Linked DNA regions of Rhinolophus ferrumequinum. The protein of the gene in region 1 interacts with the protein of each later gene in a pairwise test. Links are inferred from orthologs where the notes say so. Each region holds a gene or a part of one and is shown on either strand. Other genes may lie near its edges. The genes, in order: CCNDBP1, C10H22orf23, THAP7 and PIMREG.

The links.
Region 2: the proteins of CCNDBP1 (region 1) and C10H22orf23 interact in binary tests that used the Homo sapiens proteins (3 or more experiments, as listed by UniProt). The two-hybrid records come from large-scale screens. The link is inferred for Rhinolophus ferrumequinum from reciprocal best matches to the Homo sapiens genes CCNDBP1 and C22orf23.
Region 3: the proteins of CCNDBP1 (region 1) and THAP7 interact in binary tests that used the Homo sapiens proteins (3 or more experiments, as listed by UniProt). The two-hybrid records come from large-scale screens. The link is inferred for Rhinolophus ferrumequinum from reciprocal best matches to the Homo sapiens genes CCNDBP1 and THAP7.
Region 4: the proteins of CCNDBP1 (region 1) and PIMREG interact in binary tests that used the Homo sapiens proteins (3 or more experiments, as listed by UniProt). The two-hybrid records come from large-scale screens. The link is inferred for Rhinolophus ferrumequinum from reciprocal best matches to the Homo sapiens genes CCNDBP1 and PIMREG.

What each region holds. Positions count from the first base shown.
Region 1 is NC_046289.1:62,568,194-62,575,226, reverse strand, and holds the start of CCNDBP1 (cyclin-D1-binding protein 1), read left to right. Parts: upstream 1-4,012; 5' UTR 4,013-4,118; coding exon 4,119-4,227; intron 4,228-4,394; coding exon 4,395-4,454; intron 4,455-4,729; coding exon 4,730-4,815; intron 4,816-7,033. Other genes in the region: TMEM62 (transmembrane protein 62), read left to right, coding at 364-482, 3,054-3,380. UniProt on the Homo sapiens protein: May negatively regulate cell cycle progression. May act at least in part via inhibition of the cyclin-D1/CDK4 complex, thereby preventing phosphorylation of RB1 and blocking E2F-dependent transcription.
Region 2 is NC_046293.1:9,026,862-9,034,210, reverse strand, and holds the start of C10H22orf23 (UPF0193 protein EVG1), read right to left. Parts: upstream 3,016-7,349; 5' UTR 2,863-3,015; intron 2,490-2,862; 5' UTR 2,481-2,489; coding exon 2,378-2,480; intron 1,587-2,377; coding exon 1,524-1,586; intron 1-1,523. Other genes in the region: POLR2F (DNA-directed RNA polymerases I, II, and III subunit RPABC2), read left to right, coding at 3,207-3,226, 4,732-4,801.
Region 3 is NC_046308.1:23,399,079-23,406,576, forward strand, and holds the start of THAP7 (THAP domain-containing protein 7), read right to left. Parts: upstream 3,017-7,498; 5' UTR 2,858-3,016; intron 2,684-2,857; coding exon 2,604-2,683; intron 2,275-2,603; exon of another isoform or gene 2,239-2,274; coding exon of another isoform or gene 2,180-2,238; coding exon 2,024-2,179; intron 1,486-2,023; coding exon 1,345-1,485; intron 1,181-1,344; coding exon of another isoform or gene 1,170-1,180; coding exon 605-1,169; 3' UTR 1-604. Other genes in the region: tubulin alpha-3 chain, read right to left, coding at 3,895-4,191, 6,447-7,127, 7,436-7,498. UniProt on the Homo sapiens protein: Chromatin-associated, histone tail-binding protein that represses transcription via recruitment of HDAC3 and nuclear hormone receptor corepressors.
Region 4 is NC_046304.1:13,749,342-13,756,432, reverse strand, and holds the start of PIMREG (protein PIMREG), read right to left. Parts: upstream 3,018-7,091; 5' UTR 2,979-3,017; intron 2,435-2,978; 5' UTR 2,400-2,434; coding exon 2,106-2,399; intron 473-2,105; coding exon 177-472; intron 1-176. UniProt on the Homo sapiens protein: During mitosis, may play a role in the control of metaphase-to-anaphase transition.

The DNA.
Region 1 (7,033 bases):
AAGGAAATGTTAATGCCTTGTATTGAAGTTATTATTGCAACAGAATCTCTTAATCTTTATGAATGTACTCCAGTATGTTTTTGGAATCTACAAGCTACATATCTATTCCAGGTATAGCATGTACTCAGATAATTTTATAATCAGAGAAATATGGAGCAGAGGAGCAAATAGCTGGTTAGCTAGGACACTGGGTGCAACATAGAGGTTAGCAAAGAAGAAAAGCTATGCAAATAAAATGCTTACAGATGAATGGTCTCATATTTCTTTGTTATTCCTGTAAATGCATCTTGTGATGTATGTAATAGTTATATTACAGAGTCATAGTTATTTAAGCTTCTTATTTCTTCTCCATTGCCTCTTTAGGACCATGGTTTATTGGTGAAATTACTAAGGGCAAAATAGGTTGCTGCTTTTCCTTTGGGATCTTTGTTGATGGCCATTTCCTACAAGGCAGTGTAACATTTATGGTTGGAATTCTCCAGGTAAGAAGTCAGAAATGCAATTTAAGAACACCTTAGCTTTATTGGACTAATTGTATAACACATACGCATTAAATCCCAAATCCCAAATTGAACACCATAAATCATGTTTCCTAAATTACTGGCAGGGAAGACTTTAATAGCTGGTGTTTTGTTTGCCTTTTGAGTGCTTCCTAAGCTCTTTCTTCCACTGTTGTCGTTTAAACATCTAAAATATATTTTTGGCAGGCAGGGTTTAGGAGAGGTGAAAGTGATTTTGGTTTTTGTTGTTTGTTTCACTGAGCTTTTCATTGACAAAAAAATGAAATAAGGGACTCATGATAGAATAAATGATAGACTTCTGATTATGATAATGAAGAAGGAAAATAGTTCAGAGGGAGGAAAGGAAAAATAGACATACACAAAAAGTGGGTTAGCTATCCAGTGAGAGCTGCCCTGGGCAAAACCAGACCTGGGCTTTCTAGTAATGTCTTATTAGTACACTTCTTTGAGAAACACTGATATATTGGTTTACATTTGGATTGAGATGCCTTTAAAACAAACAAACACACAAAATCCTGACCTGTAGCAAATCTCTAAACAGTTTGAAAGGTATTTACTTTTTTATTTTATTTTATTTACCTATTTATTTTACTCACCTAGTAGGACCAATGGACCAAAATCTGGAGGTGATGATCTGAAGTTTTAGAAGAGGTCCAAAAACATTATTCAAAATGAGTTCACAGCCTCATAACAGGACAGTAAAACATGATCAGCAGAATTAGAGATAAACAAATAGAGAAGACCTCTGCAATCACTGACCATAGGCCACAACATTCTCTGTATAGCAGTATTTCATATGTACATATGTCCTGGATCCAGTTCAATTTTCTATTATGTAAATGGAGGTTGTCTCTCAGGAGCAATCTTACACTAAGTAAAACCTGAGTCTTACCAAAGGGTGGGTTTATATTCATATTTGAATAAGTAGTACACTGGTAATGGATTTTATGTATCATCTAGGCCAGGGGAGTCCAAACTTTTTTCAACGTTTTTCACCAAGGGCCATATGCGGTAAAATACACAAACAGCCGGGCCACTCACTCAAGGTGAAGTACGTATTGCCTCACCTGGTTTATTTAAGTAAACTAAATATATTTTTGGAATTTGCTGCGGGCCAATTAACAATGGATTGCGGGCTGCAGTTTGCCCACGGGCCGCAGTTTTGACACCCCTGATCTAGGCCCATGACTCCTAAATCTATATCTCTGATCTGGACCTTTTCTCTGCACTTCAGGTGCCTATATCTCCACCTACCATTTCACATCTTCCTTTAGATATCTAATAGGCATCTCAGCTTAATAGTATATCTCTTATAGGACCTTTAATTTCTACCCACAAAACTGTTCCTAGTTTTTGCAATTTTAATAAATGGCTCCCCAGTTCACCCAGTTTCTTCAGGATGTATCCTCAGTTCTTCTCCTTCCTTTGTACCCTGTATCTAGTTCATCAACAAGTAATACCTTGTTTGCTCTACCTCCAATACATATCTTGAATCCACCGCTTCTCTCAATCCCGGTTGCTACCACCATAGTCTAAATCATAATTATTTCTTTTCTGGGTTACTGCATGACCCCCCTAACTGGTCTTCCTACTGCTGTTTTTGCCTCCCTACTGTCAGTTTGCCACAGAGCATCCACTGTGGTCCTTTCAAAACTTTAATCAGCTCACTTCTCAGCTTAAAACCCTTTAAACAGAGCAGTGATATGATCTTGGTCCTGCTGACTGTCCCAATTTCCACTTGGCTCATCATGTTCCAGGCCCATTGGCCTTAAATAGGCCAAGACCTCTCCCACCTCTGGGATTTCACTTGATTCTTCTGTCTGGAATGCAGTTCTTTCCACTGACTCAGGCCTGTCCTTCGGGCTTCAGAGAGCCCATTTCCCAGTTGCCTTCTCATGACCCAGTTATTTCCTTCATCGAATTTCTCATAGTCTGTAATTATCTTTCCTGTTCGTTTGTTTATTTGTTTATTTATTTATTTGGTTTTGCTTCTCTCTGTTAGACTGTAAACACTATGATGCATCTTTTCTGACTTGTTCACCAGTATGTCCCAAGCCTAGAGTATAGCAGTGCCTGCCACCTAATGGGTGATGAATGAATGACACAGCAGTTAAACTTGGATTATAACTTAAATCTTCTAATCTGTATTCCAGTACTCATCATGCTACTTCAAAGAAAAATACAAAGAAAAAGAAATATTGATACCCATGACCCTCTCACTCTGCCAAAAAAAAAAAAAAAGAGTATGTGTATGTGTATACACATCAATTCATTTCCACCTTAAACATTATCAAGGGCACCTGCCTTTACGAGGAAGAAAAGGATACAGGCAGCTATATAACTAACTACAAGTCAACTGTTTTTAGTGTTATAACCAAATGTGATCAAAGCATAACGAATCAGAATCAGAGGTAACCCTCAAAACAGAAAGCAACATATTCTTAGGAGCCACCAATAATGTATTAGACCCTACCCTGACCCCTTGGAGGACTTGCTGGTAAGCTAGTGGTTCTGTTCTGCTCTTCTTTCCAGTTGGCGTTTTTTAACATCCCTTTGATGGCTTACCTGTGTTGGAGCTTGCTGCAGCGGTGCTTTGGTCACAACTTCAGGTCTCATCTCCATCAAGGAAAACGCTTGAAAATTATACCTGTTCACCTTCTTATGTTACTGCTGTACATCTGGCAGATTTATTCCTGCTACTTTCTTCATATGACATTTGGAACTCTAGCGTTTTTCTTCTCCCCTTTAAGGACCTGGTTGACATTGCTGACACCTATTCTCATTCATTGTGTGTGGACACGGAACTCCGACAAGCTTGGAACCTTCACAGTGCAGTTAAAAAGCCACTTGAGCTCCTGAAAGCCACGTCTCACCATCCACCTCTGTAGGCCTCTGCCCCAGCAGCAGGTGGAAAGCCAGTATTGGTGGGCACGCTTCGGGGAGCTGCTGCTCCTTGGACGCCTGGGAGTTGGGGAAATTACCCACTATTCATTCCTGCAGAATGGAGTGCAGAAAAGTCTCTAAATAATGCCATGATTCCTTCCTTCCTCAAGAAAGCAAAGGATTGATTTACTTTTGTGAAGAGAAAGCCTGCATCTAGATCTACAGGAGGGCCTGGATGTGTATGGGCGCATGTGCAGCCCAGTGTTTTTAGGTTTACCTCATGTAAAGTACCTAGCACAGTACCTAGCTGTCAAGGGTGCCACTTTAGGGAAAGGGAACCAGTGTGAACTTGAGCCTGACCCTGACTACCCTTGAGCTATTATTATAGCTCCCAGTCCCTTTTTTCTGCTTCCTTAGTCGGGGGTGTTTTCAACCAATCAAATAAATGAATGATAAATAAGAAATAACGCGGACTGGTCCTTGCGTGTGCGGCCGGGCCTTGGGCCTGAGGGAGGAGGTCGGGGGCGGGGAGTGGGTGTCAGGCGTGACCCGGCCTCTGGGGAGGGAGGGGGCGTGGCTGGGCCGCTGGGGCGGGGCGGGTTGTTGCCGGAAACTAACCCAGGTCTGTGACGCCCGGAAGTGGAGCAACTACCGCTGTGCCTCTGGCCGCTGCTGTGGCGTCTTTTGTCTGCAGGCCCCAGGCGATCTGCTGAGATGGCGGGCGCAGGTGCACCTGCAGCCGCGATCTCCACCCTGACTCCGCCTTTGGAGCAGCTCCGGCTTTTAGCCGGGGAGCTGCGGTTGCTCTTGCCCGGAGTGCGGGGTGAGCGGATGCTGTTGGGCCGGGCGACCGCAGGGGCAGCCTTGGGTCGGGAAGCGGGCAAGCTGTGGAGCGGGGACCCGGGCGGAGGAGGTGGGGGGCCGGAGGTGTCTCCGCTAACCTCTACTTTTCTTTTGCCACCTGGCGGCCCACACGCCACGCACACCCAGTCGGCGAAGCCCGGGAGACCACCAAGGAGTTCAATCGGAAGACGTTTTGGAGGAGACTCAGTGAGTGCCTCTCCTGTCTTCTCCCAGCGTCCCAACCCCTCCCTCCCCCGCTGTCCCCCCCCCCCCCCGCTGCATCCTCTCTGCGGGGATACCTCACCATATACCCTCAGAGGTTGAAATATAAAACATTGATTTTTGGAGGTGTTTTCTCTACGTCTAAGGGTGTAGAGAGAACGCGTTATCTTTAAAGTCCGTGCAGCAGCTGCAGCCTTATCCTTTTGGCACTAACATATTGCCTCCTGCTTCCTGCTTTGTCACACCCCCTCCCCCTCCAGATGAGGCAGCTGTGAAAGTGTCAAGGGAAGCCACGACTATGACCGAAGTCTTCTCTAGACTTCCACTGCCACTGCCGTCCTCACAGGTGGGCTTTACTTTCCTGGAATCCTTGCGCTGCCTTGTTATTCTTCAGGAATCCTTCCATTTTCTTTCCACCTTTTACACTCAAACCAGGGGATTTATTATCATCTGTCATAAATAAGACTGCAGTTCTCATCCCACAGGATTGTTGTGAAGACTACATTGCCAAGTGCAGTACTTGGCATGGAGTAGGCAGGTCATCTAAATTGTATTGGTTCATTTTGAAGTGCATCCTGGTTATTTCCTTTCTGATAATTTTTTTTACGCACTTGCAGTTTGTTTTCAGCTATATGATCCCCATCTGACAGATGAGTAAGCGGGCTCACAGGCTCAGGTTAAGGTAATAAGCAGTGGGATTAGATTTTAAATTAGGATCTATCTGCTGTCGGAGCTGCACCTTTTTTGTTATATTGCATAATACCCTTTTTACCCTTTTGAATTATTCTTTATATTTAACCAGTAACAATTATACAGTATGAAATTCAAAAGATATCAAAGTGTGCTAAAAAGTTTGTCTTCCTTCCTCAGTTCCTTTGATTATTCATATCTATTCTAAGCATATGCACATTTATGTGTGTATGCCTGCTGCTTTTCACACAAATGATAGGATACCATAAACACTTTTCTGAACCTTCTTTTTGAAACAAATTAGCAATATAGCTTGCAAATTGTTTCTCAGCAGCACATATAAAGTTCATTTCTTTGTAATGGCTGCATGGTATTCAGTAGAGTACATGTGCCTGTTATTTATTTAACCAGTACTCTATGTGGATATTTAAGCTGTTTCCAACTTTTAGCTATTATAAACAATACTGTGATAAACTGCCTAATACAATATTTGAGTATGTGTGTAAAAAAAAAATCCAGGGAGTGGAATTGCTAGAACAAAGAATTTATACATTTTTAATAACCCTTTATTATAAAACGAATGAAAATAAACGTTGACTTGTGATCAGGTATGCCCTATGCCCAGTTTTTCTAGAGCGAGGTATACTTAATTTGGGATAAGTTTATTTAAAAATGGCATACTCATTGCCTTATTTGATTTTCATAGTCAATAGTTTCATTCTCTTTTTCAGTCCATACATCCAGATGTTTTGAAATGGAAAAATATCTTTGCTGCACCTACAATGATAAACTCTCTCCCCCTACATAACTCAGAGATCTGTGATGAGGGAACAAGAGATGAATGGTATAAGAGCACTTTAAAAGCTTTGCAGGGCCAGCCCGGTGGCTCAGGCGGTTAGAGCTCTGTGCTCCTAACTCCAAAGGCTGTCGGTTCCATTCCCACATGGGCCAGTGGGCTCTCAACCACAAGGTTGCCAGTTCAATTCCTCGAGTCCCACAAGGGATGGTGGGCAGCGCCCCCTGCAACTCAGATTGAACAGTTCACGGCACCTTGAGCTGAGCTGCCGCTGAGCTCCCAGATGGCTCAGTTGGTTGGAACGCGTCCTCTCAACCACAAGGTTGTTGGTTCGACTCCCGCAAGGGATGGTGGGCTGTGCCCCCTGCAACTAGCAATGGCAACTGGACCTGGAGCTGAGCTGCGCCCTCCACAACTAAGACTGAAAGGTCAACAACTTGACTTAGAAAAAAGTCCTGGAAGTACACACTGTTCCCCAATAAAATCCTGTTCCCCTTCCCCAATAAAATCTTTAAAAAAAAAAAAAAAAAAGCTTTGCAGAAGAAAGTATTTTTTTCAAAGGGAGTAGTAATATTACCTTATTTTTCTTATCTGCCAACTCTTTTCTTTCAGATACACTTAGGACTTGCTCCTAAAATTTACAGTTAGTAAAATACCATGAGGAGGCAGTATAGGACTATTTTTCCATACATGTTCAGGTCAGTGGTTTCACTCAGATGAAAACTTAGAATTTGCTTTTTATTTGAATTATATATATTTGAATCTCAATTGCTTTCTTAGAATCTCAGCATGTTAGTCTTAATGATGAATGGTTTTGTTTGTTTTAATTCCAGTTCCACATGGACTGGTATTTTTATAAAATTATGTGTGTGGTTGAAGCAATGTCAGATTACCATAAAAGTTTCTAAACACTCTCAATCACTGTACTTATTCATCCCAGACTGGTAACAAACGCTTTATGGACTGGCACCAATCTCTAGACCACATTTTACATAGAACTAGCTTAGAATTGAGTAGCAAAGTGAGGAAAAGGAAGAAAAGAGAATGCCAGTGACTGCTCAGTCAACATTGAGCATTG
Region 2 (7,349 bases), on another chromosome or scaffold:
TCCTCTGGCCCGTTTTCAGCAAATATTTATGGCCCGAGTAATTCTGGGAGTTCCGGTGAAGGAGAGGAATTTATGGCTTGCAACAGAATTTGAACGAAGGCTCAAAACAACAGTAGGATTTGGGTAAGAGAAGTAAAGAGAAGATTCTAGAAGAAAGCAGACTCAACACCAATGCTTGGAGGCAATTTAAAAAAATAAAACTTCTAAGGGGAATAACACTGCCAGGTGAACCAATTACTCATGTTGGCCTAACCACTAATGCAGTCAGTCCTTCAATAAACATTGAGCAGCTTAAAAAAAAAAAAAAAAAAAATTTTGAGCAGCTAAGTGCTGGGGCTACCGTGGTGAACAAGACAGATGGAGTCCTTGGTCTGCTAGTTTTACTTTTAGTGAAATTTCTAGCATAATCTCTTTGTGGTCATGCTACAGGGGACACCAGTTTATTAGTAGATTGCTGAGCGTGGAGACTGAGTTGTGATTCAGATATGTCACGGCACTAGGCAGCCTGAGTTGTACTTTTCCACAATAAGGAAGGACATCTGACTTCTGACCTGGCCGGATGGAGCCTCCCTCCCTCAGCCAGTGCTGAACAGGTGCCAATGTCTGACTCTCTCTTCCCTATGCTTCTGTCATTGATCAAATGCCCTCCTGATAAGCACATTCTTTCTTCAAAGACGGCAACAGCTTTCAGTAGATTCAAGTAAAACTCGGCAGGGTTGGACCTTCTGGTATTCTCTCTCTTAAAGGCAACTTTACAGGTCTGTGTTCTGCTCCATTAAATATTGATTGATTCAGTTACATCTCAGAAAGCAAAGTTGCTTTCAAGATCTTAGAGGGCCCCTGGCTATTGTGCCCACGTACTTCCACTTTTTTGTTTTCCTCAAAAATAAGTAATGTAGGGGTGGCCGGTTAGCTCAGTTGGTTAAAGTGTGATGCTAATAACACCAAGGTTGCCGGTTCGATCCCAGCATAGGCCACTGTGAGCTGTGTCCTCCTTAAAAAACAAAAAAGAAAAAAAAAAAGAAAAGAAGAAAAAAAATGTAATGTGTGGTCAGAGGTGAGCTATGGAAAGGCTCTGCATAATCTTCCTAAGTTGGAATTCTGCCAGTTTTCTTGTTTCTGCTAGCTAAGCTATGAATGAATAAAACGACAAATGAGACACATCCACAGTCCTTTCCTCTGGAGAGCTCCTATGGTATGTGTGTAACAGGGAGGGATAGATTGCAGACAGGACAGTTTTGAGACTATTTTGGCTGGACAGGAAGTCTCGCCTGGGCTGTGATCTCTTGGGAAAGGCAGCTAGAGCAGAACTGCAGGAGACTGGTTGTGGTGCCAGGACCCGTGTCTGGGGGAAGAAACAAAGGCCGCCTCAAGGTCAATCCCCCAGATGCAAGGGTCGGAAATACTACACTCTACTATTTTGGTCTTTTAAAATGATGTCCTCTACCTCTTAATATGGAGGAGCTTGAAAAACGTGGCCCAGAATCCCTCTGCCCAGGAAGCCTCTGTGGACTGCCTCTTACTTTTCATGGTGTCCATGATGTGGCGCTGTTGGAATTTAGTCAGTCTGGATTCCTCCATCATTACTGCAAGATAAAGCACTTTTGTAAAGCCTGCTGAGCCTTCATCTCACCCACTGAAATTTAAAATTGTATCACCTCCTACCCCCGTCCTGCACCTGAATACTCCCTCTCTTCCTCTTCTGTCTTATTTTTTTCTGTAGCACTCATCACCATCTAAGTTCTACACATTTTACTTATTATTACTTGTCACCCTCCTGCTAGGATATCAGCTCCATGAGAGCCAGAAGTTTTGCTGGTTTGTTTTTGTTTTTGTTTTTAATGCTGTATCCATAGCATCTAGAACAATGTCTAAAGCCCATAGTGGGCTTTTAAAATTTTTTTTGTTGTGTGAGTGAATAAATGAATGAATGACCAAGCATTAACCATGTGCCAGGGGCTGAAGCTGTAATGGTGAGCCAAAAAAGGAACAATCCCAGCCCTATTGGATTTCACTGGCTAGAGGGGTAGGTGGATACTGATCCAATGGGACATACTAAATATTTGACTACAGGTTGCGCTAATTCCAATGAAGAAAAAGGTATTTGGTCACATCGCAGTTGGTTCCACTGTGGTGGTGGGTCCTGGTGGGGGGAGATAAAGCTTCCCAGGGGAAACTGAAAGTGTGATCTAAGGGATGTACAATTGTTAACTACTCTAAAATTCTTGGTTCTTTGACTTTTGGCCACTTGCAAGTTGTAGGACCTGAATCTTTCTGTAAAATGAAAATAGCAATTGCTGAGCCACAGGTCAAAAGGGGAGACCCGAGTTACGGAGGGTAACTGCTACCACCCCTCTTTTCCTTTAAGCGCACTGACCTCTCAGGAGCTCACAGGTCCCAGGGGTATAAGTGGCCTGCTTGGGGCAGCTCCAGAACCCCGTTCCTTTGGTCACTGCCTCCATCTTCTCCTGGGAAGCCATGGCAGGGCCCTAAGGAGGGAAAACACACAATGACATACCCCCTGTCTCTACTCCTGCACCCCGCCCTTCCAACACCACCGAAGTCTGGGAGCGAGGTCCGGCTGCAGGAGAATCGTGTTGCCGCGTGTCACTATTGCGAGTGCCCTCCTCTCCCACCCGAAACAGACAGACCGACACACACACACACACACACACACACACACACACACACGAACGGAGACCTCATCTTGACCTGCTGCTTGTGGCAGGGAAGGCCTTTGGGGAGGAAGAGGGCCTTTAGATAGCTGTTGGAATTTAGTCAGGTTGGATTCTTTCATCATCACTGCAAGATAAAACCCTGCTATGAAGCCTCTAGGATGTTACCCCAAAATTGAAACCTCACCCTAAAGTAAGACGCCGGCTGGGTGCACCCCTCCTCACAGAGAGCGGTGGCTGGGCTCCGGAGCCCAAAAGCACGGCTCTACCGCGGCATCGCGCGGGGACCCGGCAGAAACACTGAGATCGCTGTGTCTAGAGCCGGCAGCGGGACGCTCTGGCTACCATGGTAACGAGCATGCATCTCGTCGCATGCGCACATTTACTCAGTCCTGCCTACCGGAAGTGATTGCTTCTGGTTCACGGCGCAGGCGCAGAGGACGCGTGTCGCGGGGCTGGTGGGAGGCACGCTGTTCGCGGATCTCCGTGCGGGTCTGGGGCGCAGAGCCGAGTCGCGGCTGCGTCGGCGTCATGTCAGACAATGAGGACAAGTGAGTGCGGGAGCCAAGTGGCCTTTGCGGAGCCTCGGAAGGGGTGGGTGAAGCGGGAGTTTGAGTCCAAGGAGGCTGACGAGCCAGGCGTGGAGGGACCGTATCCGAGGGGACTGGGGCTGCTGAAGGGGCCCGCGGAGCCGGAGAAGGGAAGGGCGCGGAACCAAGAGCGTAGCCAGGGACTGGACACAAAAGGCACAGGCTCGAGGGGGCAGAGAGGATCAGTGGAAAAGGTGTCTTTCAGAAAACTTCCACTGCGCCAGGTTCCGGGTCCTGTATTGGGAATATTGCGCTGTGTTAGACGTAGCCCTTCCTCTCCAGGTGCTCCCTTCTAGAAGAGGGGACAGATAACGTAGGATCGTGTGAGATGAGGCAGTAAAAGTACGTAGTACAGCGGGTCCTCGAATACCGTTTTCTAACGTTGATGAGATGCGGTAGGATCCCACCTGTTGCTATCAGTTAGTCGATGGTAAAATTGGTTGCGTCGTGCATCGTTTTGCTTAAAGTCGCAGAACCTATCGTGGGCATTGAATGAGGACTTACTGTGTAGAAGTACTCCAGAGGAGTGGTGCGACAGGTGGGAAAGGTCTGGGCAGGTTGCAGTCGTCTGGCGAGAGAAGGTAGTGTGTTAGTAGTAGAGGTAGTGAGAAGTGGTTTTGAATTCTGAGTTCATTTTGAAGCTGGCGCCAAAAAGATTTCCCGATGTGTGGGGTGGGAGCAGAGGTCTGTTCTGAAGATTAAAATAGGGGAGTGGTCCGCATAAGTATATTAGTCAAAACTGAGAAACAGGTGACATCATCAGGGGGTGTCAGTAGAGAAGGGGAGGTGACTGAGCGTTAGAGCGTTCCAACAGGGACTCCTTGGGGTTGGAGAAGAAGAGACACGAGCAAAGGACACTGAGAAGGAGCAGCCAGTGAGGTGGGGGAAATACCAAGAGAGGGAGGTGTCCTTGCAGTCGAGTGAGGAGGGTGTACTGAGCGAGAGTGGGCTAACGTGCCACTGAAAAGTCAAGCTAAACGAGAACAAGAAGAGTCCATTGGTTGGCAACATGGAAATCATTCACAGACTTGAAAGAAGGAGTGGTTTTGATGGAGCCGTGGAGATGGAGGTCTTCTTGGAGTGAAATTGTGACAGAACGGAAAGAGAAGAATTGGAAACAGTGATGATGGACAACTCTTCCATGATTTTTGTTCCCAAGCAGAGCATGGAAATAAGGCTCTGGGGGGAGAGAGGTTTTGTTTTTTTTTTAAGATGGGGAAAATGTTTGTGCTGATGAGAATGATGCAGCGTAGAGAGAGAAAAGAGACAGTGATGAAGAATGTGTCCTAGCCAATTTTGGGGGTTGATGGGGGTGAATTCGAAGGAGTAAAATGGAACAGAAGTTTGATTCACTCATTAAGTAGATGTTTGTGGAGCACCTCCTAACTGTTGGCTGAGACACTCTCTGCCCTTTTGGATTCCAGTAAGTGGTGCTCTGACTAATTGGCCTCTTTCTTCTTGTCCAGTTTTGACGGCGATGACTTTGATGACGTGGAAGAGGATGAAGGGCTAGATGACTTGGAGAACGCCGAGGAGGTCAGTGTGTAGTCTCAGTCTCCCTCCTGCAGCCCAGGCTGTCAAACAGGCTGCCCAGTGATCATTGCCTGAATGCATCTGCCTCCTGTTTGTGACCAAAGGCCCTGCCCCAGCCACCCCCCATTAGAGTGGGCAGAGTTCCAGTCCTGGGTAGCGCAACAGCCCCAGAGGGTGGGCCTGCAGGCTTTTGTCCACTTGGACCACAGTCCGTGGTTTCTGAGGCAGTTAGTTCACTGATGGGTGAGATGTCACATTTATTCATTCAGCGACTGTGTGTTGATTGTTTATTATGTGCCAGGTGCTCTGCAGCGTGGGGCTGCATAGGAGCAAGGGGGAGAGTGACCTTGAATAAAGCTGGCGAGGTAAGGGCCCAGATCAGGCAAGATTTTGTAGACTGTAGGTTGAAGGAAGCCACTGACAAGTTTTGAACCAGGGAGTGGCATGATGTAAAGTTGACACTTTAGAAAGAGCATGCTGACCTCAGGAGCGAAGCAGGGAGGAGCAAGTATGAGAGAGAGACATTAATTAGGGGACTGTCACAGACCGCCAGGTGGGAGACCTGCAGCTTGAACTTGTGCATTGCTAGGGCCATTGATAAGGAAACAGATGGAAGAGATATTTTGATGGATTGGATTTGGGGCTGAGAAAGTGGGAGATGACAAACATGACCGCTAGGTTTCTGGATTCAGCAACTAGATGGGTGGGTTACTAGCTTCATGAATAAAATAGGGCTTTCTGTCTTGGGTGACTGATGGAAGAAGAAGTGCTTTATGTCTCCTGGAGAGTGATCCCTCGACTTTTTTAGTCCCGTTTGGCTTAGAAGCCAAAGCCCCTCTTTTTGAATTTTCTCTCTTCAGGACACTCTCGAGTACCCGTATTCACTGTGTCAGAAACCTCTTTCTCCATCCTTCCGGTCTCCTTCCATTCCTGTCCCGTCAATTCTGGCTCCTTCATTTAGTTCAGCCCTGTTCCATTTCTTCATTCCTAGTGCACCAGCCTGGTTTAGATCTTTATTCCTTTACAACCACATTACTGCAGAAATTGTGTTCCTGGTTTTCCTGCCTTCCGTCTGCTCTGATTGTCTTTCTGCTGCCAGAGTCATCTCTCTTACCTGCCTGCATGATACCCTCGGTCTTCCTAAATGGTCTCTCTGCTTCTGCCGTTGCCCTCTACAAAATATTCTCAACAGAGTATCCAGAGTGATCCTTTCAAATCTTAAGTTAACTGATGTCTCCGATTTAGAACCCTCATCTGGTGGCTTCCCATCTCATTCAAAGGAATTGCCAAAAAGACGTACAAAGTTCTCCATGATCTGGCCACCTGCTCCCTCTGTGATCTTATCTCTTCTTGCTGTCCTTGGCCTGCCAGGCACACCTCTGCTCAAGACTTCTGATCATGCTGTTTCCTCTTCCAGGAACACTTTTCCCCGAGAAGCGCACATGACCTGCTCCTCACTCCCCTCAGGGCTTTGTCCAACTGTCATATCAAGGAGGCCTTCTGTGACCATCTTATTCATATTTAAAATGGCAGCTTTCTCCCCCTCCTCCCGCACTACCTCCTTGGCACTCCCTGTCTTGTTTCTCTATTGTTATACACATTTTACTTATTTTATTTATTGTTTATCTCTTCTCACTATAGTATAAGCTCTGTAGGGGAAGAATTTTATCTTACTGCTCTATGCCAAGCACTTGGAACACTACTTGACATACAGTAAGCACTCAATAAATATTTGTTGACTTAATTTTTTTTTTTAAATTGCGGAATATATTGGGGAACATTGTGTTTCTCCAGGGCCCATCAGCTCCAAGTCGTTGTCCCTCAATCTAGCCGTGGAGGGCGCAGCTCAGCTTCAAGTCCAGTTCCCATTTTCAATCTTTAGTTGCAGAGGGCACAGCCCACCATCCCATGTGGGGATTGAACCGGCAACCTTGTTGTTGAGAGCTCGTGGTCCAACCAACTGAGCCACCCCACCGTCCTGTTGACTTAATTCTTTATTGTAATATTTATTCTCCTGCCTGTGACCCTATATGCACCTTTGCTCTGTTCATACTCCATAATTAGTTGTCCAAACCTAGTACATTACCTCCTCTGTGCCTTTGCACATTCAATTCAGCCTGCCTGGAATGCCCTTCCCTTCCTCATGGGCTTGGGAACTCCTACTAATCCTAGACAAGCTCAAGTCTCATCTTTGGACTGTCTTCCTAACCCACCGTGTGAGTTAGATGCCCCCCACCTTGTTAAGTTTGTTGCACACTTGCATTCCTTCAAAGCACCTGCTGTTCTGTTTATTCTTGTCTCCTGCCCAGACCATGAATTCTTTCTTTGAGAGCAAAAGCTCTTAGCTTTGTCTCAGCATCTATTATGATGTTTGGCACATGACAGATGCCTGATAAGTAATTGTTAAATATATGAACACACACACACACACACACACACACGGTACCAAAAAAAATGTATACACATTTTAAGAAAGGAAAACTATTAAAATTGTAATACGCAACATATACTGATAACAAAAGATGAATACAAGTCACGTTTGACTTCTGCA
Region 3 (7,498 bases), on another chromosome or scaffold:
TTGGTTGGGCCCTCACTACTTGCCGAGCCAAGCAGCCCCAGGCAGTCAGAAATTGTCCTTGTCCTTGTTTTCAAATAAGACGGGCCCCGTGGTGGGTGGTGGGCCTGTAAGCCGGGACTCAGGCTGGGCAGACTGGGCCTATGAGGGAAGTCTGTTGTGTCCCCGCAAAGGAACTGAGTCTGGCCTGGGTTTTAGGAGTGTTTTCAAAGAGGATCAGCTTGCTGAAGTCAAGGCTGTTTCAGATGCCACGGCAAGGGGTGCCTAGTGCTGCCTGCAGCCTCTACTCACAATCCTGGTCCTCAGAGAACCCCATGGGGCACGGAGCTGGGCTTTCTGCTCTCCACAGCCAAGAGCTTAAACTCCAGGGTTTGAGCCCTCTGCAGTCTGCAGCCACTGTTTGGGGGAACAAGCCTGGGATCCAGGAGGGGCCCCAGCCCCCAGATGAATCATACAGGGCCTCCTTCAGGAATCCACTTTATTATGGCATCTGGTGGGTCTGACGGATGCAGCTTAGATCAGGTCCCTGTCCAGGTGGATTCTGAAGGAGGAAGAGGTTGGAGCCCTGACAGGCAGTTCCTCAACCCTGGGTCCAGTGGCCCCTCACTCAGGCCATGCTGCTGCTTAGCTGCATGGCAAAGTCCTGCACATGCTCCTTCAGAGTCTGGCGGGCATCTGCCTGTGCCCGCTTCTCACGTGCCCTTTCCTGCTGCAGCTTGGTCAGCCGCAGCCGCAGCCGCTGCTCCCGCCGCTTGCAGGCCTGCAGCTGGCGCTGGGCCTTGTCCAGGGCGTCGAGTGCGGCCTCCGCCCGCCGCTTCCAGAGCAGCGCACTGCCCACCTGGTAGCTGTGCTCATTCTGGATGTAGGCTCCAGCAGGTGGTGGGAGGCGCAGCATATAGGCTGAGGGTGAGACAGGCCGTGGTTCAAGAGGGGATGGCTGCCGCTCTGGCTCCCGCTCCGGTGAGGGCTGGGCACTGCAGCCTGCTTCATCCGCTTGGGCACCCAGAGGCCCCAGGAGGTCTGAGAAGGGGCTGCTGAGGCCAGGCTCCAGCCTCCCAGTGGGGGAGGCAGGCAAAGCAGCAGGTGCCGAGGCCTCTTCCACAGGAAAGCAGGAGACGTCAGCAGGTGGAGGTGGAGAAAAAGGAGTTGTGGGCCCTTGACTGTCAGAGCAGCTGTGGAGAGACTGACAGGTCAGGCTAAAAGCTTGCCAGACCATAATTCACCAGCCCCCTTGAACCCGCCCCACAGACTCAGGACCCTGTTCAGCATGGCTGCTGGTAGATACCCTAAAGCCCTGTCCCTCAGACTTGGGGTGGGAGTGGGGTACCCCCCACCCAGAGCACATACCGCTTCCTGCATCGCCGGAGCCGGCTGACGTCAGGGGAGCCAGGTGGGTAACTATGCCCCTTGGTCTTGGTTGTCCGGCGCAACTTGGAGAAAGACTCAAATATCGTGGGAACTGCCCCCTCCTTCAGCCTGTGATACCCACTGTGGGGGAAAGCAGCCTGGATGAGATGGAGAACAAGCGCCGCCACCCGCAGCTGACCTGCAGGGGCGCAGAGCCTGCATGCCCTCCAGCACCGCAGAGCAGGCTCCCCAGTGCTAGCCAGCACGGCGAGAGGTAGGAACGCATATTGAAAACAATTAGTTTGGGCAATGCCAAATTAGGCAGAGTTCCACCAATCTCTTCCCTGCAGAACTCCTCCAAGTTACGGTGCATGGAAAGGCGCCAACAGAACGGGGCTGACCAGCCAAAAAGAATGATTTCATTTGGGGATGTGGTGGGAGGATGGGGGTTCTAAGGCAAACCCTCTGGAAGAGCTCAATGTTTTTCTTTGTGTCACTGGCACAGTCATCCTGAAGGGGTGGGTCTTACTGTTCTCATCTGTCAGAAGGGGAAACTGAGGTACAGAGATGGGAAGAGGCAGTCACCCTTGAAACCAGGTCTGGCCTTGTGCCAGCTGCTATAGGGACCTCATCATCGGGCCCTACAGATGCCCCAGTGCTGGCTGGCAAGGAGGCTCACCTGATTCCCACCAGCTCAAAGCAGTTCTCCTCGAAGTGTTTGGAACAGAAGTAGATGTACTCAGATGCTGGGTCCCATAGGCCCTGGCCGCTGGGGTCCAGCCTCTGGCAGTTGGCCAGCCACAAGCCTCGCCTTGGGTTGTCCTTTTTGGGAAGTCTGTGGAGCCACAAACCCGTGAGTCCCAGGCTGCCTGCAGCCCTGGCATCATGCTGCATAAGCTCCACAGGTGGGAAGAGCTGGCCTTGCACATGCTGCAAGAGACCTCCCTTCAACTGTCAGGTAAGCACCGCCCATCCGGGCACAGACGAGGAAACTGAGGTCTCAAAAAGGGGAACAACGTGGTCAGCGTCATCTAGCAGGTTAAGAGTCGCAAAAAATAAGTCCCAAGGATGGTGGACCTCCCTTTCATCCTTTCCCGTCTGGACTCAGTCCCACCTGGACCGCCCCCTTCACTCTCTCCCACCCACAAGTTCAAGCCTCGCCCCCAACCAAAGAGCATGCGCAATGGTGACTTCATGAGGCGGGCAAAACAGGCGCATGCGCATGTGAATCTTCGCGTGCAAGACGCACGCGCGCTGACCTGTGGAAGGAGATGCCGCTGTTGCGCGTCTCGCGCGTATCCCGTGTGCAGCAGCCGGCGGCGGAGCAATGACGCGGCATCTGGGGAAGAGGCGGGAGCTTGGTCACGGGCGACTGTTCGGACTCAGAGGGGCCTCGCGCCCCCAGCCGCCGCTCCGATTCGGGCGGCCTTGGCCTGGCAGGTCTGCCCCCCGGCCCGATCTCGCCTGAGCCCCGACCCAACCCGTACTCCTGACTCCCCTCAGCGGCACTCACGGTCTTGCCATTGCTGAGCCGCCGTAGTCTCGCGAGATATAGCGAGCGGCGGAAGTTGCTACCATAGAGACTCGAAATCGCGGGCGCTCGACCGAGGGGCGGGGCGGGCCCCGGAAGTGGCGGAAGCGTGGCGTCGCCGCGGGACCCGTTTAGTCCTAGGGTCCCTGGACGCCTGCGCCGTGGCAACGTTGGCCCCTCTGTCCTTTCGGGTCTAACTTTTGACCGTCAACGCCCGGGCACCCAATGAGCGGCTCCACTCGGCAGCACAGGGCCCGGGGTACGGGTCTGCGCGACGCGGCGGCGGTAAAACGACAATGCCTCGGTACCCGCGCAAGCCGCCCAGGGAGGCCCCGATTGCAAGAAACGTACTCCAACAGCAAGAAAGAGACCGGGACGCGTGATCAAAAGAACCTAAAAAATACCAGTGCTCACGACTAATTTCAGGAGAGGTGCCTGTAATGAGAAGAGTGGGCGGTGGCCATTGATTACGTTTTGGGAAAATGTGATGGGCAGGGAAGTTTCTGTGTAGCGACTTCCGTTAGGGACGCTGACAGGGAAAACTAAGGGGCTTTCCTGGAATCGGAGGTCAGGAAATAGATTTGTGCTGGGCAGGGCGGCCTCCCTGGCCCCTCCCAAGACAGGGTGAAAACAGCCACTCCACTGCTTAGAAGAAAACCAGGTTACTATTCCATCCTTCAAAGAACATCAGGCATGAAGGATTTAAGAATGTTTACATTTAAAATAATCGAAGCATCTTTCTTCCTAATTCCCTGAGCCGTGCCTTTTGAAGCCTTTCTGGGAGAAATACAGTAACTAAACATAAAGACAATAATTTTTTCGGTCTGAGAGGAAACATGTTTTTCCCCTAGAAAATCCACTTGGAAAAAGGCAGGTATTTGAATGGGGAATTTTGTCAAAGTGAAGCACAAGGGACAGACAATACCTCAATACAGAAACTTTAATAGTTTGTATACATGTCTTGTAACGTTACAGTGGGGGATGGGAAACAGGGATGGTTGCCAGCTGTACTCTCCCATTCAGTATTCTTCCCCTTCTTCAGCCTCTGCTTCCACAGAATCCACACCAACCTCTTCATAATCTTTCTCCAGAGCTGCCAGGTCTTCCCGGGCTTCAGAGAACTCCCCTTCCTCCATGCCCTCCCCCACGTACCAGTGCACAAAGGCTCGCTTTGCGTACATGAGATCGAACTTATGGTCGAGGCGGGCCCAGGCCTCGGCGATGGCAGTGGTGTTGCTCAGCATGCACACGGCCCGCTGCACCTTGGCCAGGTCTCCCCCAGGGACGACAGTGGGGGGCTGGTAGTTGATGCCCACCTGCCAGAGGAGGGAATAGAGTGAAGTTTATATTGTGGCCTCAGAAATGGTAGCTTGTTTTTCAAAACTGGAGCTGTGGACACAGTTTAAATGACACCCTATAGAAACTGGTCCAGTATTTTCTGGCAATATCAACATTTAATATCCTTTGACTGTACACTTTCACTTTTTGGATTTACCCACACAAGAGCACAAAGCTGCATGTGTAAAGATTTTTATGTACTATTTAGTTTAAAGCACTGCTTGTAATGGCAAAACTGGAACAAATGTCCATCATGGGGAACTAAATATACGCCCATACAGTGAAACACTATGTACGAGCATAAAAAAGAGTGAAAAATCTGTCCTGGTATATCAACATGTCCAAGGTATAAGGTATACTTGGTAAAAAGAATAGCAAGTTGAATTCTATGTATTTATGCTTAGCAATGTGTATAGAGTAACAGGCTACTGCCTTGGACAGCGAGGGGAACATCGTGCTGGAGGAAGACAAATGCCTGGGAGTGTGAGGCAGGCACCGATCTCTGTCCTGTGAGCAGATAGCAGGCAGCAGCAGCCAGACACACAGCCAGTCTCCAGAAGAGTTGGGAGGGGCACGGAGGATACGGGGCTCTGACCCCGATCAAGGGGTGCCCTTCCGCAGCTCTAATGCCAGGCCAGACAGCCTCTCAAAGTGGGAGTGCTGCCAGCTTCCTGTTCTCTTTGGCCACCTGTGTGCAGTGAGTCAAATCTATCACCTACGTGTAAAGATTGTGCGTCCTTTGCCCATGTTGCTGGTCTCTTTCTGTCAACATCACCCACATAACGAGGCATCATATACCTCGAATATGCACAGAGTATCTCTTGAAAGACAAACCTCTGGGGAAGGGGAAGAGAATTTAGTGTTTTTCAGCCTTCTGCATTGTTTTAATATTTTGCCATGTATATGCATTTTTATAAAAAAACTAAAAATTATTAAACATAAAAGATTCCTTGAAAAGAGTGTATCCCTGAGCAAATGGTTGTTAAAGAATATATGGTGAAATTACACTAAGACTGACAAAAAAAAACAACCCAAAAAACTAGCATGAGAATTCAACATGGTTATCTGAGGCTGGACTGTCTTCTTTGGGGACAGTCAGTACAAGCTTTGACTTCCTGTGCCTCCCCACACAGACCAGCCTCCCCACTGGGTGACAGGAGGCAGAGACTCAGCTATGATAGGAAATCTGGGCACAGGGCACAGCACTTCCCAGCTGAGGCTTTCTTGGATGTGCTTACCTTCCAGAGGTCACAGTGACTAAAGAAAATTTCCTCCATGCAAGTCAAGAACGTGGTAATTACACACATGGAGTGGAAGGTTTCAGCTCCTACCTCTAACCTCTAAGGTCTGCAAGATTTAATGAATATTTCCAGATTGATGAAACCTGTTGTTTTACCCTTTTCTGTGAGTCACTTTAAATCTGTCAGTTTTATGTCCTCAGAGATGATCTGCGTCATGGTTTCTTAGAGTGGGTCTGACAGAGGGCTAGATAGCTTCAACAACTTGTGTGTGGTCAGAGGCAAGCTACTGCCATTCCAAATGGGAACAAGATGACACATATTTCTACTACTTGTCATATTCAATCTGGCATGACCCTGGAACTTGTAACTCCACAAACACCTTAGGACTCCTCAGGGCTTACAAATATGAGGTCTACAGCTTTGTCTAACACAGGAAACCAACTGTGAACGAGGACTTGTAACAAAGAAGAGGGCACAAAATTAACGAACGCAGGCATGATGAAGCACTTAGCCTGATAATCACAACAGGTCTAACGCCTGACATTCTGTTATTTGGCTTCCAAGTACATGTTGGAATCCATTTACAGTAACGCGCCAATTTCAAATGTCCACATGAATTACCAAAATGCCCAGAAAATTTCTACATTTCTATTAGAAGACTAAATTTCTATTTTAGGAAAATTCATAGTATAAGAAAAAAGTATCTTATTTCTAAGGCCAACCTACATTTTCTGAGTAATACTACCACTCCAAAAGGGGGCCAAAGATCCTTCGGAAACTTTCCTATTCTGTTAAAAAAAATTCTCCCACCACAGATAAATAATGTGATGACTCAGGAAGGAATTCAAGACACCACTGAATAAATTATCACTCTGGTACACTCATTTATGACCAAGAGCCTAGCTGCCATGTATTCTCCACAAGGACAGCATCCTGTCGCAGGGTCTGCTACATGCTGAACGATAAAACCACTCGACAGCACCCAGTCCTACCTTAAATCCCGTCGGGCACCAGTCCACAAACTGGATGGTGCGCTTGGTCTTGATGGTGGCAATTGCCGCGTTGACGTCTTTCGGGACCACATCTCCCCTGTACAACATGCAGCAGGCCATGTACTTGCCGTGGCGAGGGTCACACTTGACCATCTGATTGGCCGGCTCGAAGCAGGCATTGGTGATCTCGGCCACGGACAGCTGCTCGTGGTAGGCCTTCTCGGCCGAGATGACGGGCGCGTAAGTGGCCAGGGGGAAGTGGATGCGGGGGTATGGGACCAGGTTGGTCTGGAACTCCGTCAGGTCCACGTTCAGGGCCCCATCGAAGCGCAGGGAGGCCGTGATGGAGGACACGATCTGCCCAATCAGACGATTGAGGTTGGTGTACGTGGGACGCTCGATGTCCAGGTTGCGCCGACATATGTCATAGATGGCTTCGTTGTCCACCATGAAGGCACAGTCGGAATGTTCCAGGGTCGTGTGGGTGGTCAGGATGGAGTTGTAGGGCTCCACCACGGCCGTGGATACCTGGGGGGCTGGGTAGATGGCAAATTCGAGCTTGGACTTCTTGCCGTAGTCCACTGAGAGCCGCTCCATGAGCAGAGACGCAAACCCAGAGCCGGTGCCGCCCCCGAAGCTGTGGAAGATGAGGAAGCCCTGCAGCCCCGTGCACAGATCCGCCTGAGAGAAAGCAGAGACCATGAGCAACGCCAGCAGAAGCGACCCCACCAAGCCGCTGTCACTTTTCTTTGCCTCCACAGGAGGATACGAATTCAAATCGTCCCCAGTGAACATGCACTGCACTTTGAGGGGAGGCAAAGCAGACACTAGAGATGTATGCGTATGGATGCATGGAGCCCCACGGGACAGGAAGACCATGGAGTCGTCATTCTGGCCTGGGTTTTGCCAACATGACCTCCTGGTCCCACTCCAAGGCCTCCCTCCCATTCCAGGCTAATGCCGTCAGGAAGCCTTCCCAGTGCTCTTACCAGTTTGCGGATGCGGTCCAGGACCAGGTCGACGATCTCCTTGCCGATGGTATAATGGCCTCT
Region 4 (7,091 bases), on another chromosome or scaffold:
GGGAAACTAAGGCTCCAAAGGACTTTCCCAGATCCCCAACTCGTGGGGGACAGAGCTGGGTCAGCATACAGACGTGATTAAGCTTAGGGTGCCCCTGGCTCTAGGGAGCCCCAGGAGGGGCTCAGAAGCCTCTGGGGCCCATTAGTATTTTGGAGGCAAGGCTCTCTTCCACTTGCCTGGGGGAGCAGAGGGGCTCTGCAGAGGAGTAGGGGCTCTGGAAGGCGGCCTCCCTCCTGGACCGCCGAAGTGGGTGGGCCCGTGAGCCCCTCTGAGTGGAGTGGTGGTGACGTTCCCTCTCCCAGGGGCCCAGGGTTGAGCGGGCAGGGGCAGTTCCAGACAGGCGGGTGCTCCTCTGGTTCAGACTACGAGCTGGCACGCTACTGCCCTTCTGTGCCTCTCTCTTCCTCCTTCTGGCTTTCACCTGGGTCTCTACCAGCCACTTGGTGCCACTTTGGCAGGATTCCTGGATTCGCTGAGATAAGTACATGGAAAAAAGAGCACAGATAAGCCAAGGGTGAGCCACCCCAATCTCCAAGCCATACCTCTGACCCCTCCACTTTTCAGCCTGTCCTACACGCACAGGTAGCTGTTAGTCTCAAGGGTGAGGGATGTAGGTGATACTCTATGACATGGGTCCACTGTAGGGACCCCGCTCAGAGCTCCCAGACATGAGTGCAGTGGTCAGCAGAAGAACCACTGGCTTATAGAACCTCTATTTGCCTAAGTCCAAACCCTTTCAGATCACAGATTGACCCAGGGACTCAAGGGCAAAGCCTACCCCCCAAGACACAGTGAGATAACCTATTTCCCTGCCTCTGGTCTCACTCCCTCTAATCCATCCTCCACTGGTGCACAGAGATCCTTCTCAAGAGCAGTTCTGATCAATACCCTTCTATTGCTCCTCGTTACTCACAGGATCAAGACCTAATTCTTGTGTCTTTCACACCAGCTGGGGGATGAACGTGAAGGCTCTTCCTCAGCTAGACTGTCTTTGCCTTGGCAAACCAGAGTCCAGAGCTTAGAGCCAGCTCGAGTTACATTTGGTGAGTTATGTGACCTTGGGCAGGCTACCTTGTTTCATGTCTGATCCCTGGGAATAACACAGTCCTAGGGCTCTTCCAGACAAGGATTAACATTTGGTTCAGAGACCTCTCTGTAAAGCGTTCAGAAACAGCTTTTCCCATCTCACATCTTCAGAGTCCCAATCAGACACCAAGGGGAACCTCCTCCCACCCCCAGTTCTCTCCTCGGAGGTCTATTCACTCTCCTGGCCTCTGTCCTTTCTAGGGGAGACTCCGCACATCTCCAACTCCAGGTTAGAAAACACATCGATCTGGAAGGCCCGCAGGCATCTCACACCCAACATACGTGACATCTTCCTGCCCACACATCTCATCTGTCCCCAAACCCTCTCAAATCTACCGTCCAAGTAACTCTTGAAGTTGTTCCCTCCTCTGCAAGGCCAGACCCCCAGGGAGAATGTTACTAATCCCTTTTCCTTCAAGTAGCTAAAGAACAAGTTCTAATATGCCAATCGAACCTGATTCCCACTGTTGTAAATTCTTCCCACTGGCTCTTGGGACCATCTAAACACCTTCAGCACACGGGACCCGTCTTTTACTGCCTCACCTTGCTCTCTGTCCTCATGCCACACCCAGACTAAGCTCTCTCCATCCCTCTTTAGCATCCTGCTGCCCCTCAGCTCCGGGTCTGGACTCACACTACTTCACCTGCCGTATACACTCCTCATTCCTCCCCTTTCCTGTGTGAATTCCGTGGATTCACCTCCTCTGGAAAGCTTCACCAACTAAACTTGTTTCTGGTTTCCCCCCACCGTTAGCCGCTTGCTTGCAACTTCCCATCACAATACAGCTCTACCATCTTATGTTGTGAGGATGTTTCTTCCATGACACTGTTTTCATTCACTCACTTAACTATGTGTTGAGCACCTACTAAGTGCCAGGAACTACTTGGGGTGCTGGGAACACAACAATGAGCAAATTGAAGGCATTGTCTTCGTGGAGTCAATATTCTTGGGGGCTCCTTGGGGCAGCAGTTGTCTGGCACCAAGGAAGCTCGCCATACCTGGACGTGGTCAGCATTACCTGGGACATGGCACCAAAGGCATTTTTAGCTGAGTGAGCTGCAGCCTGGAGGCCCTGCTGCCCTGGCTCTGGGGTTTTCAGGCGTTTCCAGGAGGGGCCTGCCCCCAGGTTGAGGCTGACTGCTCTCAGGGGCAGCCTCCGTTGGAACTCTCTGCAGAGGGAGCCCAGGGTCCCGCTGGAGGTCTCCAGATGGCCAACAGCAGGCTGCAGCACCTCGCTCTCCTCCAGCTGCTCCCGGTCCTGGAGAGATCTCCTGCGCATGGAGACCCGCACAGCTGGCCATCGAGAGGCCATCTGCCTGGCCAAGAGTCTGTTCCGCTCACCAGCCCCTGGGGATGGCAAAAGGCAGGTCAGCAAGGCATCCGGCATCCCATTCCCAGGCTCCACAGAGACCCTGGGTATGAGGGAAGGGATGGGATGGAGGCTCATGCCGTGGGGTGGAGGCACTTGGCAACGGTGGCTGTGGAGAGGAGGGAGTTTCCTGAAAGGGAGGTCAGCGAGGCCCAGAAGAGGGCAGAGGCTGAACAAGGCCAGTCAGCATTTCCTGGCTGCAAGTGTCTAAAACAGCTGTCTTTTCACCTCAGCCTCCTCTCCGCTGTCGCCTGAAGCAGGGAGGGAGGGAGGGTCAGGAGCGGCCCTCGTCAAGCCTCAGCATTGGGCCCCGGGCTCGACGACCTGTGGCTCTTTGACAAATTCGCCCTGAGTCAACGCGCTCCTGCCCAGACCCCGACCGGCTGACAAGACCCCCCGATTTCCACTTTGCAATACCCAGACACCCCACCAGCGTGCCCGTCCTAACTAGACCTCCACGCTTCCCCAGGGGCCCACGTCCCTTCAGAACAGAAGCCCCACAACGCCCCGGCCCGCACTCACCCAACAGCCCCCACGTAGAACAGAAGCCGAGCACATATGCTCCTAGCCCATCCCAGCTGATTTGAAACTCCGCGCGGATCCGCCCCCGGCCCAGTTTTCACATCTGATTGGTTAGTTCCCCGCGTCGCTGTCGCATCGGGGATCTTATTGGCCTTCTGCTCTAGCGGCTTTGTGAATTCTGCTCTCGGATTGGCCCGGCCGTCCCCATTCATCCCTCAGGACCCCCGCGGGGCTAGGCGCCCAGCCAAGCTGCCCCTTTGTATCTGCAGGTCCAGCCCGCGCCACAGCGGGAATCCGCCACTGCCGGCCAGCCAGGCCCCCCTGCTCCACCTCCGGGACGCTCAGCCCCAGGCCGCCGGGCCCCCTCTTCGAACTACAAAGGATTCAGGCTGGTCTGATTGGGCGGGGCGCAGGCGGCCTTTCAGGCTCAGAGGGCTCCCTCCCATACTGCCAGGAGGTCTCAGTGGTTTTGTCACAAAGAACTCAGGGCCTGGGTTCCCGGGGATGTTTTGTTTCAAACTTCCCACTTGGCCCGCTACCGTGTGTGTTTACCCTCGCTCTGCCCCAGAGAAAACCCAACCGGGAAGAGGGAAGGTAGCTAGTACATCGCCTGCTCTCCTCCAATTAAGCTCCCCTTCCCCCACTCCAACTGACCCTCCCCTCTCTTCTGATGAATGTCTCCCTCCCTTTAGCATCCAAACAATCTGAAAAATATGCCATACAGAAAGCTCCCCCCATTTCCCCCACCTTTAGCAGCACTGGCCAGTGCGGCCCCTCGGTTTCTTGCTGCCATCCTCATCTGGTCTCCTCCCCCCTTACTACCCCCACAACTCCCCACCTCTCTGGTCATTCTTTTGCTGATGGGCTCCTTGAAGCTCTGTCCTTAGCCTCTTCTCCATCTCTGGCTGATCTCACCCACTTCTGTGGCCTCAGTTACCGCTCCCCTGCTCTCCCCTCCCTGGGATGGTGAGACCAAAGAGCATGTATGGAGTCCTTACTATGCACCAGCTACCTGTGTTCCAAGCACTTTATATTATGAGCTCATTTGACCCTCATGGCAGCCTGCCACTAAATGAGGAGACCAAGGCATAGACAAACAGTTAGGTTGGGCCCCGATTTCCCTCAGTTAGTAAGTCACAGAGCCAAGGATTCAAAGTCTGCCAGTCTGGGACCAGACTCCACGTGCCATCCCACCGCACAACACTGCTTCTCCTCCTTCTCCCATGCAGGTGTATCCACTCACCTCCTGGATACCCAACTCCTCCTGGGCACTGCAGGCACTTTTCACCAACACGCCTCAGAGGGCATCCCCTTGGTCTCGCCCAGCCCTTCTCCTCCTTCCCCATGTCCCCTCTCTCATGTTTTTCCAAATACCTAATGGTGTTTGATATTAGGTTAGTGCAAAAGTAATTGTGGTTTAAACGGTTAAAAGGAATTGCAAAAACCGCAATTACTTTTGCACCAACATAATAGATTAAGCATTATGCTAAAAATGGACCACAAAGCATTCCTTACCCTCATGGAGCTCAAATCTAGTGTGTGGGAAGAGATGGACATGAATGAGTCAAATAATCAATAAGTAATTACCCAATCAGAGAAAATTATGACACAAAAATTATTATCTAGGTCTGAGACCTAGAGAATGAGTTAACCAAGCAAAGAATGTGTGTGTCTGAGTGTGTATGTTTGTGTTTGAGTGTGCGTGTGTGTGTGTGTGGTGCTGTGTGTGGGGTTCTTGCACAGGGGATACCAAGGGGACTAGTACCCAGGTAAGACACCCAGCACACACACATATATACACCCGAAACAAACGTTTCCTGAAACAGTGCTTGACTATGTGTGATGGTCCTTTGAGATTTTATTATTTTATTATTTTTTTAGTGCCGGTGACAGCTCGTTACATTTATTTTACAATGGCTCACTGCTCTAGTTCGCCTGCTCACTCACCTTGTTCCCTAATAGAGTTGTTTCCCAAGTGTCAGGCGTGTTTGTTCCCAAGCCTGTTTATGCTGGCAGTATTCCTTATTGTAATTAATTCATGTCCTTTACCAGTGAAATACGAGGAGGGAAAGCAAGAGTATTTTTAGAAAAATGAAATTGAAAGTGTGGGAAAGACTCCGTGAAGGTGAAACACTTAGAAAGTCTTTCAAGTTGGGTTGTCTTGTCACCGTTGTCTGTCAGAACCTGTCAGAATGCCCGGTATGCCGTGGGCATCGATACAGCAGCTTATATTTGTCCAGCCCTCACCACATGTGTGCTAAGTGCATTTCTTTACTCTGCCTTAATCCTCACAGCAACTCCATGAAGTAGAGTAGTTTTATTCCCATTACAAATGACAAAACAGATTCAGATGGGCGAAGTGTCTTGCCTAGGCTGGAACAGAATCAGAGCTGGAACTTGAACCCTGGGTGTCTGACTGTAATATGCGAATTCTTAAACTTTGATTAAATGGCCTCATCAAGCATCGGGGAACAAATGAGTGAATGTAGGAAGAGGCTCTCCCGGCTTGGGGCATTCTTACCCCTTCTCTTACAACTGTAACTGGCAGACCAGGTGAGGGAAGAACAGTCTCCATGGCAACGAGAGAAGGAAGAAACATTTTTTTCTGAATGAGAAGGCTCTCCCTCTGCCTTTCAGGGAGTGGTGTAGTGAGGGGGTGGGAAGGAGGGTGTGCTGAAGCAAGCAGATTACTAGTTGAGGGGTTGGGGTGGGTGCAGGGGCTCCAGCTCCTCCTGGTAAGGGGGAAAGCCAGTCCGTTGTTCCAAGCTGAGGCTTTCTGGGGTCCAGCTCCAGCCCTGCCCTGCTCTGAGGGAACTCTGTCCAACAGCAAAGCTTCCACCAGTTTCCTTGGCCTCATGAAACTGTCAGTCTGAGGGAAGCAGCAGACATTAAACTGCAAAAATGCCAGGAATGCCAAGTGCTCGGGGGCAACCATGGTGTGTAAGGGGATGGGGAACTCCCCTGGAGGTGGAGGTCAGGGCAGGCTGCCCTTACTTAGCATATGGTGTTTTAGCTGAGGAGTTAGTGGGACAAAGTGAGGGGACGAGGTTGTCTGATAGAGGGATCTGCAAAGCCCAGTGCTGGGCGGCCAGAACATGCCAGGTTCCAGGACCAGAGAAGGAGACATAGAGGGCAGGGTCTGGGATGGCAAGAACCAGGAGCTGCAGGGCTCCTTGGCAGGAAAGGAGCTTAGAATTTATCCTGAGGGCAGTGGGAACCCTTGGCTGAATTTGAAGAGGGGAGTGGAGTTATTAGAGTTACATTTTAATGAAGTCGGTTAGGAGGTTAGTTTGGGGGCCAAGTGGTGGCTGGGGTCCATCTGGAAGCTGTGGCTGGAGCACTTCGTTGTTCTCAGCAGTGAAATCGAAACCACTGGCATCAGCTTCAACATCCCCTGCCCGTCATGCCCCCCAACTCCCACCCTGGCAACCACAGGCCCAGTCTATCAGCTCTACCTCCTCTTGATAACTGCAATCGCTGTGCGTCCTTTGACCCTTTTATAAAGGGAAGCAATTTAAACAATAGGAGAGATTTAAGTGTGAGACATGATTATATCTTTTTCTTCCATTGTGAATTATATCACAGAGAAAAATGCCTAAATCAGGAAGCTTAGTATAATGAATACTTAGAAAGCAAACATCCATGTGAAGAAACCATCACGCAGTGAAGAAACAGAATGTTGCCAGGACCCCAGAAGAAGCCACCCCACCCCTGCTGAGTGTCCTCCCTCCCTCCCTGGACTTTATGGTAATCACTTTTATTTTCTTTGTAGTTTTACCATCTAAGCATCCATCTTTCCTCCTGTGTACCATGTTTCCCCAAAAATAAGACCTACGCTGAAAATAAGCCCCAGTTAAGATTGTCAGCCAGACGGACTCATTTAGTACGTTGTGACGATGTTCCAGAAGAAGATGACGTGACTGTATTTGAATAAATATAGATTGTTGTACATGAAAAAATAAGACATCCCCTGAAAATTAGGCCTAATGGAGCAAAAATTAATATAAGACCCAGTGGGGACAGAGCCAGGAGTGCAGTTTCCAGGCTCTTGCCCTCACGTGGAAAGGTGCTCCCTCGGGTAGTAAATGGCCATCAACTGTGATTGGATGGCCA